Linked DNA regions of Macaca mulatta. The protein of the gene in region 2 binds, or shares a complex with, the protein of the main gene of each other region. Links are inferred from orthologs where the notes say so. Each region holds a gene or a part of one and is shown on either strand. Other genes may lie near its edges.

The links. The genes of interacting proteins can lie anywhere in the genome.
Region 1: TREX1 (region 2) and NME1 share a complex: the UniProt entries of both Homo sapiens proteins name them as parts of the SET complex. The link is inferred for Macaca mulatta from reciprocal best matches to the Homo sapiens genes TREX1 and NME1.

What each region holds. Positions count from the first base shown.
Region 1 is NC_133421.1:58,843,836-58,847,162, forward strand, and holds the end of NME1 (nucleoside diphosphate kinase A), read right to left. Parts: intron 2,518-3,327; coding exon 2,416-2,517; intron 1,384-2,415; coding exon 1,271-1,383; intron 813-1,270; coding exon 695-812; 3' UTR 501-694; downstream 1-500. UniProt on the Homo sapiens protein: Major role in the synthesis of nucleoside triphosphates other than ATP. The ATP gamma phosphate is transferred to the NDP beta phosphate via a ping-pong mechanism, using a phosphorylated active-site intermediate.
Region 2 is NC_133407.1:111,872,328-111,878,938, reverse strand, and holds TREX1 (three-prime repair exonuclease 1), read right to left. Parts: upstream 3,691-6,611; 5' UTR 3,561-3,690; coding exon 3,246-3,560; intron 3,193-3,245; exon of another isoform or gene 3,106-3,192; intron 2,788-3,105; exon of another isoform or gene 2,763-2,787; coding exon of another isoform or gene 2,751-2,762; coding exon 1,818-2,750; 3' UTR 1,773-1,817; downstream 1-1,772. Other genes in the region: SHISA5 (protein shisa-5), read left to right, coding at 1-153, 328-407; ATRIP (ATR-interacting protein), read right to left, coding at 3,865-3,932, 4,335-4,587, 4,756-4,836, 5,282-5,373, 5,533-5,669. UniProt on the Homo sapiens protein: Major cellular 3'-to-5' DNA exonuclease which digests single-stranded DNA (ssDNA) and double-stranded DNA (dsDNA) with mismatched 3' termini. Prevents cell-intrinsic initiation of autoimmunity.

The DNA.
Region 1 (3,327 bases), on a different chromosome or scaffold from region 2:
GTCAGTGTCTTGCTGTGTTGCCCACGCTGGACTTGTACTGGCCTCTAGCGATTCTTCCCCTCAGCCTCCTGAATAGCTGGAATTAAAGGCATGAGTCATTGTACCCAGCCTAATTTTTTTTTTTTTTTTTTTTTTTTTAGTGAGACAGGGTCTTGCTCTGTTACCCAGGCTAGTCTCCCACCTCAGCCTCCCAAGTAGCTGGTATCACAAGCACAAGCCAGCACACCCAGCCCTCATGTATTATTTCTGATGAATCCTCTGCACCTAGTCCAGTCTTGGCCATGTAGCAGATGCTCCATAGATGCCTGTTGAGTAGCTCCATGCCAAGAGTGGAAGGGACGCAGGGGTTAAGAAGGGCAGGCAAAGAATGCCTGTGTGTATGTGAGATCTCAATATAAATAATTTTTATAGTATTTACATTCTCTATTAGGTCAGGTTATTCAGTGTACATGAAAAGAAGAAAAAAAAATACAACAATACAAAGTAACCAACTCAATGAATCCTAAGTTGGGAGGAAGCATTTTAATCAGATGGTAGGGGATGGTAACACTGTACAGGGAGCACTCACAGCTCCAAGAGCTTCCTTCCAAATTATGACGAAGTTCCTTTAAATAACTAGATTTCCTAGAGCCTGGTCCTCTGCCCATGGGAAGGAGGAGAAATGGATGTGAAAGCATTGTAGCCTGCTCTCCTGTCATTCATAGATCCAGTTCTGAGCACAGCTCATGTAATCTACCAGTTCCTCAGGGTGAAACCACAAGCTGATCTCCTTCTCTGCACTCTCCACGGAATCACTGCCATGTATAATGTTCCTGGGTGGAGAAAGAGATAGTCACATGACCAAGACCAGAAGGATTAAAATGCGCCCATTGCCAGAAATCTACAGCCACGGCAGCATAAAAGCTGAAGCTCCATGGACATTAGACCATGTTAAAAGAAAAAGCCTACAATGGCCATTCATGTAAGGGTGAAAAATGCCCTCCCCACATTCAGCCCTCCCGGTCACACTGGTGCAAACAGTAAGAGCCTTCAGGAAAGACTGTGGCCAGCAAAGTGTGTTGTACCAGGTTCTACACTTCGTGTAACGGAGGTACAACTACAGTGATTTTAAAAACCAAAGCCAAACACCAACTTAAGGGGGAGGAAAACAATAAACTCCGATAAAATCAACCTGCATATGGTATCATGTCTACCTCCAGCCTCAAAAACCCAAATCCTTGTGGCAACTAAATCAGATTTTGGAAAAGGGGGAAAAAGAGCAAAATCTCACCTGCCAACTTGTATGCAGAAGTCGCCACGGATGGTCCCAGGCTTGGAGTCCGCAGGGTTGGTCTCCCCGAGCATGACTCGGCCTGTCTTCACCACATTCAGCCCCTCCCAGACCTCCAAGGACAGAAGAAGATATGGTCAAAGAAGAAAACCCATCTCAGCAGAAAATCTGGCAACTATTAATCCAAAAATAGGAAAAAATAAAAAGGCCCCTTAAGATGACATTCATTCACTGAACAAATATTTAGAGTATCCACTTATTCCGGCACTAGGGATCCTGGTCTCCCTGCCCTGATGCTTGCCTTTCTACAATGTACTCTCCATTCAGCAACCAGAGCAGCCTCCTTAAAATGCCAAGTGTGGGCAGGGCGCGGTGGCTCACACTTGTAATCCCAACACTTTGGGAGGCTGAGGCGGGTGGATCACGAGATCAGGAAATCATGACCATCCTGGCTAACACAGTGAAACCCCGTCTCTACTACAAATACAAAAAAATTAGCCGGGCGTGGTGGTGGGCACCTGTAGTCCCAGCTACTCAGGAGGCTGAGGCAGGAGAATGGTGTGAACCCGGGAGGCGGAGCTTGCAGTGAGCCGAGATTGTGCCACTGCACTCCAGCCTGGGTGACAAAGCGAGACTCCATCTCAAAAAAAAAAAAAAAAAGGCCAAGTGTGAAGTGTCCCATAGCTTCCCAGCACTCAGGAACTACATGGTCAACACACCCCTAAGAGAGGAGGCCCCTGCCCATGCCTCTGAACTCTTCACATCCCAACTTCTCTCCCACCCATCAGGCTTCGGGCATTTCAATTCTCCTCCCATACTTCAAAACGCCAAGCTCATTCCCACCCTGGGACCTTTGCACATGCTGTTTGCTTGGCTGGAAATGTTTTTCACTGTGATTCTGTACATAGCTGGCTGCTTCTTGTCATTCAGATCACAGCTTAAAATTTGCATTCTTTGATCATCCATTCTAAAGTGATCACTTGCTACTCCTATTCATTTCTGGGCCTATCACTAACCATTAGCTGATATATGAAAATAGATATCTATTTGGTCTCACTCATGACTGTATCCCCAGTGTCTAGAAGAGAGCCTAGCGCAGACGACAAGCAATGCATACTTGGAGTATCTCACACAGGCACACTCACCATGGCAACTACCGGCCCTGAGTGCATGTATTTCACCAGGCCGGCAAAGAACGGACGGTCCTTCAGGTCAATGTAGTGTTCCTTGAGAAGGTCTTCAGAGGCCTATTCAACAGGACGGAGAATGAGAATGGCCCCAAACCATCTAAGAACATACAATCCATGTAAATTCCCCTCATCCACCCTGCTATGTAAAACATGAGTGGTTGGGCTCACTGATTCTGTTATAACCCAATTCATTCTCCACACTGGAAGGGAGCAGTGACAGGACTAAAAGTACTTCTCCAATTTTATATCAATTGTCTCCCTATTGGCATTGACTGATAATAAAACCACAGAACATTAAAATTAAATTCAGCTATCTCATTTTTAAAAAACTCAAACTCCTGGGCTCAAGTGTTCCTCCTGCCTCAGACTCCCAAATAGGTAGGACTGTAGACACACACTACCAGACTTGGCTAATTTTTAAAATTTATTTATTTATTTTGAGACAGAGTCTCCCTCTGTCATCCAGGCTCGAGTGCAGTGGCGCGATCCTGATTACTGCAACCTCCACCTCCCAGGTTCAAGTGATTCTCCTGCCTCAGCCTCCCAAGTAGCTGGGATTACAGATGCCCGCCCACCATGCCCAGCCAATTTTTGTATTTTTAGTAGAAACAGGGTTGTTGGCCAGGCTGGTCTCAAACTCCTGACCTCAGGTGATCTGCCTGCCTCGGCCTCCCAAAATGCTGGGACTACAGGCGTAAGCCACCACGCCCAGCCATACCTGGCTAATTTTAAAAAATTATTTGTAGAGATAAGGTCTCACTATGTTGCCCAGGCTGGTCTCAAACTCCTGGACTCAAGTGATCCTCCAGCCTCGGCCTCCCAACGTGCTGGGCTTACAGACGTGACCCACCATGCCTGGCCCTCAAC
Region 2 (6,611 bases):
GTGTGCCGCCCAGCTACCCTGGACCAAGCTACCAGGGCTACCACACCATGCCACCTCAGCCAGGGATGCCAGCAGCACCCTACCCAATGCAGTACCCACCACCTTACCCGGCCCAACCCATGGGCCCGCCGGCCTACCACGAGACCCTGGCTGGTGAGTGCCCCTGCTGACTCTAGCCCTGCCCAACTCCCTGAGTATCTGCCAGCATCCCTCGGGCACCCATCCCAGAGTACATCACTGAATAGGCCTCTGCCCCTTTCTGCTCGCCTGCCACTCATACGGCAGCCCACCATGCTCACAGCCAACCAGGATCCTCTCTGCTTTCAGGAGGAGCAGCCGCGCCCTACCCTGCCAGCCAGCCTCCTTACAACCCGGCCTACGTGGATGCCCCGAAGGCGGCCCTCTGAGTGTTCTCCGACCTCTCTGGCTGCCACTTGGTTATGTTGTGTGTGAGTGGTGTGCAGGCACGGTTCCTTATGTCCCAGCCGTGCTGTGTGTGTCCTGCCTGTATATGTGGCTTCCTCTGATGCTGACGAGGTGGGGAATGATCCTTGCCAGAGTGGGCTGGGACCAGACTTTGTTCTCTTCCTCACCTGAAATTATGCTTCCTAAAATCTCAAGCCAAACTCAAAGAATGGGGTGGTGGGGGCACCCTGTGAGGTCGCCCCTGAGAGGTGGGGGGGTTCTCCAGGGCACATCTGGAGTTCTTCTCCAGCTTACCCTAGGGTGACCAAGTATGGCCTGTCGCACCAGGGTGGCGCAGCTTTCTGTATGATGCAGATGTGTCCTGGTTTTGGCAGTGTAGCCAGCTGCTGCTTGAGGTGATGCAGGCGAAGCTTGGGATCTGACCAAGTTGGGCTTTGATTCTTTAGGCAGATGTCCCATTGTTCCCTGGAGCCTGTGTCGTGCCTGTTGGGGGTCAGGCAGCCTCCTGATGCCAGAACACCTCAGGCAGAGCCCTTCTCACCTGAGAGTTGTCTGCCTGGACTGTCCCCTGTCCCTGCATCTTCCCTGGGACCACCCGGAGGGCCACATCCACACACAGCCTAGCTGCCCACAGGGAGCTCTGCTGCCCTTGCTGGCCCTGCCCTTCCCACAGGTGAGCAGGGCTCCTGTCCACCAGCACACTCAGGTCTCTTCCCTGCCGTGTTTTCATTTTATTTTAGCCAAACATTTTGCCTGTTTTCTGTTTTAAACATGATAGTTGATATGAGACTGAAACCCCAGGATAGTGGAGGGAAATTGGCTCAGAGGAGACGGACAACCTGGCAACTGTGAGTCCCTGCTTTCCCCGACACCAGCCTCATGGAATATGCAACCCTGGTACCCCAGTCCAGGGTGTTCTGGCAGCAGGGACACCTGGGCCAAGGGGCCATCTGGACCAAAGGTGGGGTGTGGGGCCCTGGATGGCAGCTCTGGCCCAGACATGAATACCTCGGTGTTCCTCCTCCATTACTGTTTCACCAGAGCTGTCTTAGCTTCAAATCTGTTGTGTTTCTGAGTCTGGGGTCTGTACTCTTGTTTATAATAAATGCAATCGTTTGGAGCTGCTGTCCCCTTTCTTCCTGGCTGCTGGGATTGGGATCAGGCTGTACTGTTTCCATCAACCATTCGGGCTTCTCGTGTTTTCCCTACTTTTATTGAGCTCAGATAGTTGATCATCCTGCTAGGGAAAGTGAGGGACAAACACTATGCCCTCCTCCCCAGGTCCCTGAGTGTGGGCAGAGGTCTGGACTGCCAAGAAGGGTAGGAGCCAAGTGACCACTCAGTGCTGGAGGACGGGGGGGGTCTTTATTCTTCAGATTTTCCTTCTTGGCCTATTCCCCAGGTGCAGCCAGGGATAGTCCATACAGTGTGGCCACTGCCAAGGTCAGGACGGCCAGTAGACCCAGTGGTGCCAGCAGCCCCTCCCTGGGTAGGGCTCCAGGGTCCTTCATTGGAGGAAGATCCTTGGGTCTCCTTCTCTCTCCAAGGCTGGGACTAGTGTTCCTGGTTGTGGCCAGGTGTGCAGGGGCTGTGACAGCAGATGGTCTTGGCTTGGTCCCAGCAGAGGCTGTGACCCCATACATGGGCCTGATGGTGCTGAAGGGCCTGGCGTGAGCATCTACCCACCGCAGCAGGGCCTGTGGTCTCCACTGACAGATGCTGAGCAGGGCCAGGACATCACCCTCAGCCGTGTGCGAGTCCGGAGGGGACTGCCCATACAGGCGTGTGTAGATGCTGCCTAGGCTGTAGCTCTTCCTTGGGCCGTGTTCTGAGGGGCTGTCTGCTCGCTCCACGGCCTTCAGCGCAGTGATGCTATCCACACAGAAGGCACCATCCAGAGCACTGGTGAGGCCCAGCATAGCCAGCTCTGCTTGGAGCAGGGGGAAGTCATAGCGGTCACCATTGTGTGCCACCAGGCACCAGGGCTGTGGCTGGCGCCGCAGGAAGGCTAGGAGCAGGTTGGCCAGGTTGTCATCGAAACATTGACGCCCATGCGCTGCCAGCACAGCTGTGCTCAGACCTGTGATCTCGCTGGCTGCAGAGCTGCAGGCTTTTCCCGGAGCCACGCACAGGGAGAGCTTGTCCACCACACGCGGTGGTGGAGGAACTGTGGGAGGTGGTCCCTGAGAGGTGGGGGGGCTCTCCAGGGCACATCTGTGGACAGCCAGCAGGCACAGCTCCGTGACCTTGGGCTGGGAGAAGGGCAAGCCAGTGGCCTCCATGTCGAAAAAGATGAGGGTCTGCATGGGCCCCGGGGGCAGGGCCTGCGAGCCCATGGTTGGGTAGGACCTGCCGCTGAGCCTGGGGAGGAGCATAGGGTGGGTGTGTGAGTGCCCAGTGTTAAGATCCGAAGGGGAGGGAGTGGGGTAGGGGGTGGGCAGAAGCACATCTCAGGCCTTCCCTGCACAATCCTGCCCTGTCTGTGAGCTCCAGGGCCCATTTTCAGGCAGGAAGTTGGAGAGGGTGGGGTGGTTTCCTTAGTGGGACCAGCACATTCGACTGTCTGAGAGGGCTCCCTCTTCACATGACTTGGCCCCTCCCCTAGTGCCCCCTTAGTCTGGGGTCGGGGAACCCATGGCCCTCCTGCCCTGCGCCATCCCCTTGGGGAGCCACACTTACCGTAGCAGGCAGGCAGGCAGGCAGTAGTGACTTTGCTGCACACTCTCCCGCGGCTCTCGCTGGCAGCAGTGGCGGGAAGTGAAACTTGGTATGGGCCCGCCTACAGCCCCACGTGAGCCAGGCCCGCCCTGCTCGTCAGCCTGCCTGGTCTGTCCCTCTCGCCAACATCCGTCCCCCCACCCCCACTTCCCCGCCCCCAGGGGACCCCAGAGGCCTTCTGAGATCCACGGCTGTGGCCTGATGGTGGCACAATGCACCGGGCCATCACACCAATGACAGGCAGCTGGAAGGACCAGGGCAGTGGCGCCAGACCAGCTCCCGGTGTTACACACTGCTGGGAGCTCCTGCTGCAGCCCTTTCGTGCCCACCTGTGGGTCCCACTTTTCCAGGCTTTCCTGGTTTAGGCCTGGGCCAAGAGCCACCTCCTTCCCTGCCACACAATGGTTTCTTCCCATGGCCCCAGCCCAAAGCAATGACTCAGGACAATTCCACAGGCAAGGCAGGGCTCCTTCCTCAAGGCAGATCGGTTACCATGGGGACTGGGGATCAGCAGCAGCCAGGGACAGGAAGAAGGATCCCAGCCACTCAAGGTCCCGTCCCGGTCCCGCTCCACCCCTCCCACTCCGCCAAAGAGATTAGACTCAGGAAACAAGGCCAGCCGGTTCTCTGGGCAGTTCCTGCTGGTCACTGCTTTAATCAGTTGATGTGGTAAGGAAAGGAATGGTGCTGGTGCCACCATGTGGCTGGACACTCAGGGCCTCAGCCACACTCCAACTCGGGGTCGTCCACATCGGTTTCCGCGGCACAGAGGTCATCCAGGGCTGCCTCTGAGACAAAAAGGAGAGGTTCTTGGTGAGGGCCCAAAGGTGCCAGGGCCTAGGGCGGGTCCCACCTCTCCTCCCCCAACGCCCGCAGGAACTAACCAGTCCCTTCCAGACCCAGGCCTTGCTCCCTCAGCTACTGCAAACAAAGTGATACAAAAGCAATTCAGACACAGGTATTTCTGGAAAAACTGTGGCTCTGCCAGGCACATTCAACAGATAGGAGCAAAAGGCAGCCCAATATGCTTGGAGAAGAACTGGGGCAGAAGATAAAAGAAAATGACCCCAGTGCCGGAACAGGCTGTAATGGGCAGGGGCCTGCTGAGGGGATGCCCAGGAATATGAGTTGTTGGGGAACCTCAGGGAGAAGCCGTGGGGGCTGGGCGGGAGGGCCTCTGGCAGGCTCACCTTCACAGTCGGTCACGTCAGGAAGCCCGCGGATGAGCATGCTGACCCCCGGCATCACCTGGTCATACTGATGCAGGACCTCCACGCAGTGCATTATGAAGAGCTTGTCCTTCTGGGACAGGCCGTGCAGCAGCAGCACCGTGTCCCGCAGACAGCGCACTGTCCGCCTCTGCTGGTCAGTCCTTGGGGGCCCACCTGCCCTCCGCACTGTCAGCCACTGTCTATGCAACATCACCGTGAGCGCTCTGACCACCTGGGAGAGAGGGGGCACAGACTGTCTGGTGCCACCATGGCCTGCACCCTAACAATCCATTCAGCCTAGCCACCTCAGGTGAGGGGGTTTGCAGTGGGGTCTACAGTCCTTGCACAGAGTCCCCTTACCACCCACAGAGCTGCCAGCTGTTGGCCCCTGCCTACTCACCTCTACATTACACTGGCAGTTGGAGCCAGTGACTAGGGGCAAGGGGCTCTGCACACCAAGCTTAGCCAGGAGCCACACCACCTAGAACAAGAACAGATCAGCTCCATCGTGGGCAGAAGAAGACCAGTCCCTGTGAGGGCTTTCTCAAGCTTCTGTAAGAGTTCACTTACTTCAGCAACTGCTTGTCTGCACAAATGGGGTCCAAGAAGTGGTGTGGGACCTTCCCAGGGCAGACCCAGGACGAGCACCCATGTCTCACCAGCAACCCACCTGCCTCCAGCCCCCCATCCTGCCCCCAAGCCCCAAAGCCAGGACAGGTTCAGTCATCAGGCAACTCTGCCAATTCCTGTCTGCATTGCATCTGTGTAGTGCACAGCCCCCAAACTGAGTTTACCTCTTTAGCTGCTTGATATACTCGTTACTAAAATGAACTAAAGCTCCTTTTCTCCCCAGTAGAAAGAGGAGATTCTGTCGGTTCTTAGGATGGGGTGGGGACAGTGTCCAGAAGGGGCTCTGGAGTTTTTACCTCTTGTTCCAGCTGGAGCCATTGTGTCTCTGAGGCCACTCTGTCAGGCCGTGATGTGATGTACATGTACAGCAGCAGCAGGAGGCAGTCTTCTGAAAAGGACAGTGCACCTCTCACTCAGGGTGCCCTTTCTCATGAAGAGCCTGGGCTACATGCTGCAGAAGCCCTCCGAGGCCCTTGACCCTGTCCCCACCCCAACACTTCCCTTGATCTGCAGGAGCAGTCCAGACGCCCGCCCCACCCTGCTTTACCCGAGTGGGAACAGAGCTGAGGTGCCAACTGGTCGTGGTCCGCAAGGAGGGAGAGGAGCTCAACAGCCAGCACCACGCCAGGCAGGGGTGTCTCTGGGCTGAGGCACTTTGGCAGCACTTGGAACACACACTGGAACCTAAAAGACAAGGACCCAGAGAGAAGTGACACTCCCCAACCACAGCTTCATAACCTACCCTCACATTCCACTAGAGGTAACAGAAAATTGAGCAAGGCAATACGAACAGGTGAGTTGGTTCAGCCAGACTTGGGTTTCAGTGCTGGCCTGACCTCCACTTACTTACTATGAAACTTGTTTCATGTGAACAAGCAGGCACTTCCACTGCAAGATGCTGCAGCTGAGAGGACAGGCCCTCATCTGGCATAGCACTGCCCAGGAAGTGGGATGACCTCCTGGACCTGGGATGCCTGGCTTCCATATGCTCCCAAACAGGGATGCAGGTCCTAACTTAGGTGGGAGAGAAATGTTCTGTGCCCATAGAAGGATCGGCCAGGGCTCCACAAGTGATAAACATGGCCTTGGCTATAGTTGGATCTTATGAGACCTCTTGCAGGGCAAGAAAAACCATTTTCTCTACTTGTTAGAAAACGTATCTGCTGCCAGTAGGAGAATGTGCCTACTGTGGGGTGTGCAGGAGGGAGGAGTTCTGGGCACACTGCCACAGGTCTCAGGGGCAAAAGGAAAGCTATTACCAAGAAACCAAGCCCCAAGGCAACTGCTGCTGTTTGCTAAACCCACATAGCCTGGAGAAGCACGGTGGACTGGCCTGGTGGGTGGAGAGAAGAGCAATTCTGAAACACCCTGTGGGGACTGGCCAGCTGTGTACCCCTTCAGACATCTGCAGTTTCTTGAGCACAGAAGGTCAAGATATCCCTCAGTATGTCCTTAGGAAGCAAGGTCTCACTATGTGGGGTGAACTCACTTTAGAGCAAATCCTGCACAGCAGACAAAAAGTCCAATGCTTTTTAGTTGCCAGGGTGTGCAGACCTTTGCGGGAAGCTTCAATTTAACATGGTTGTTACCTGGTTTCATTACTGGGCTGTAAGAAGCCCAATATCT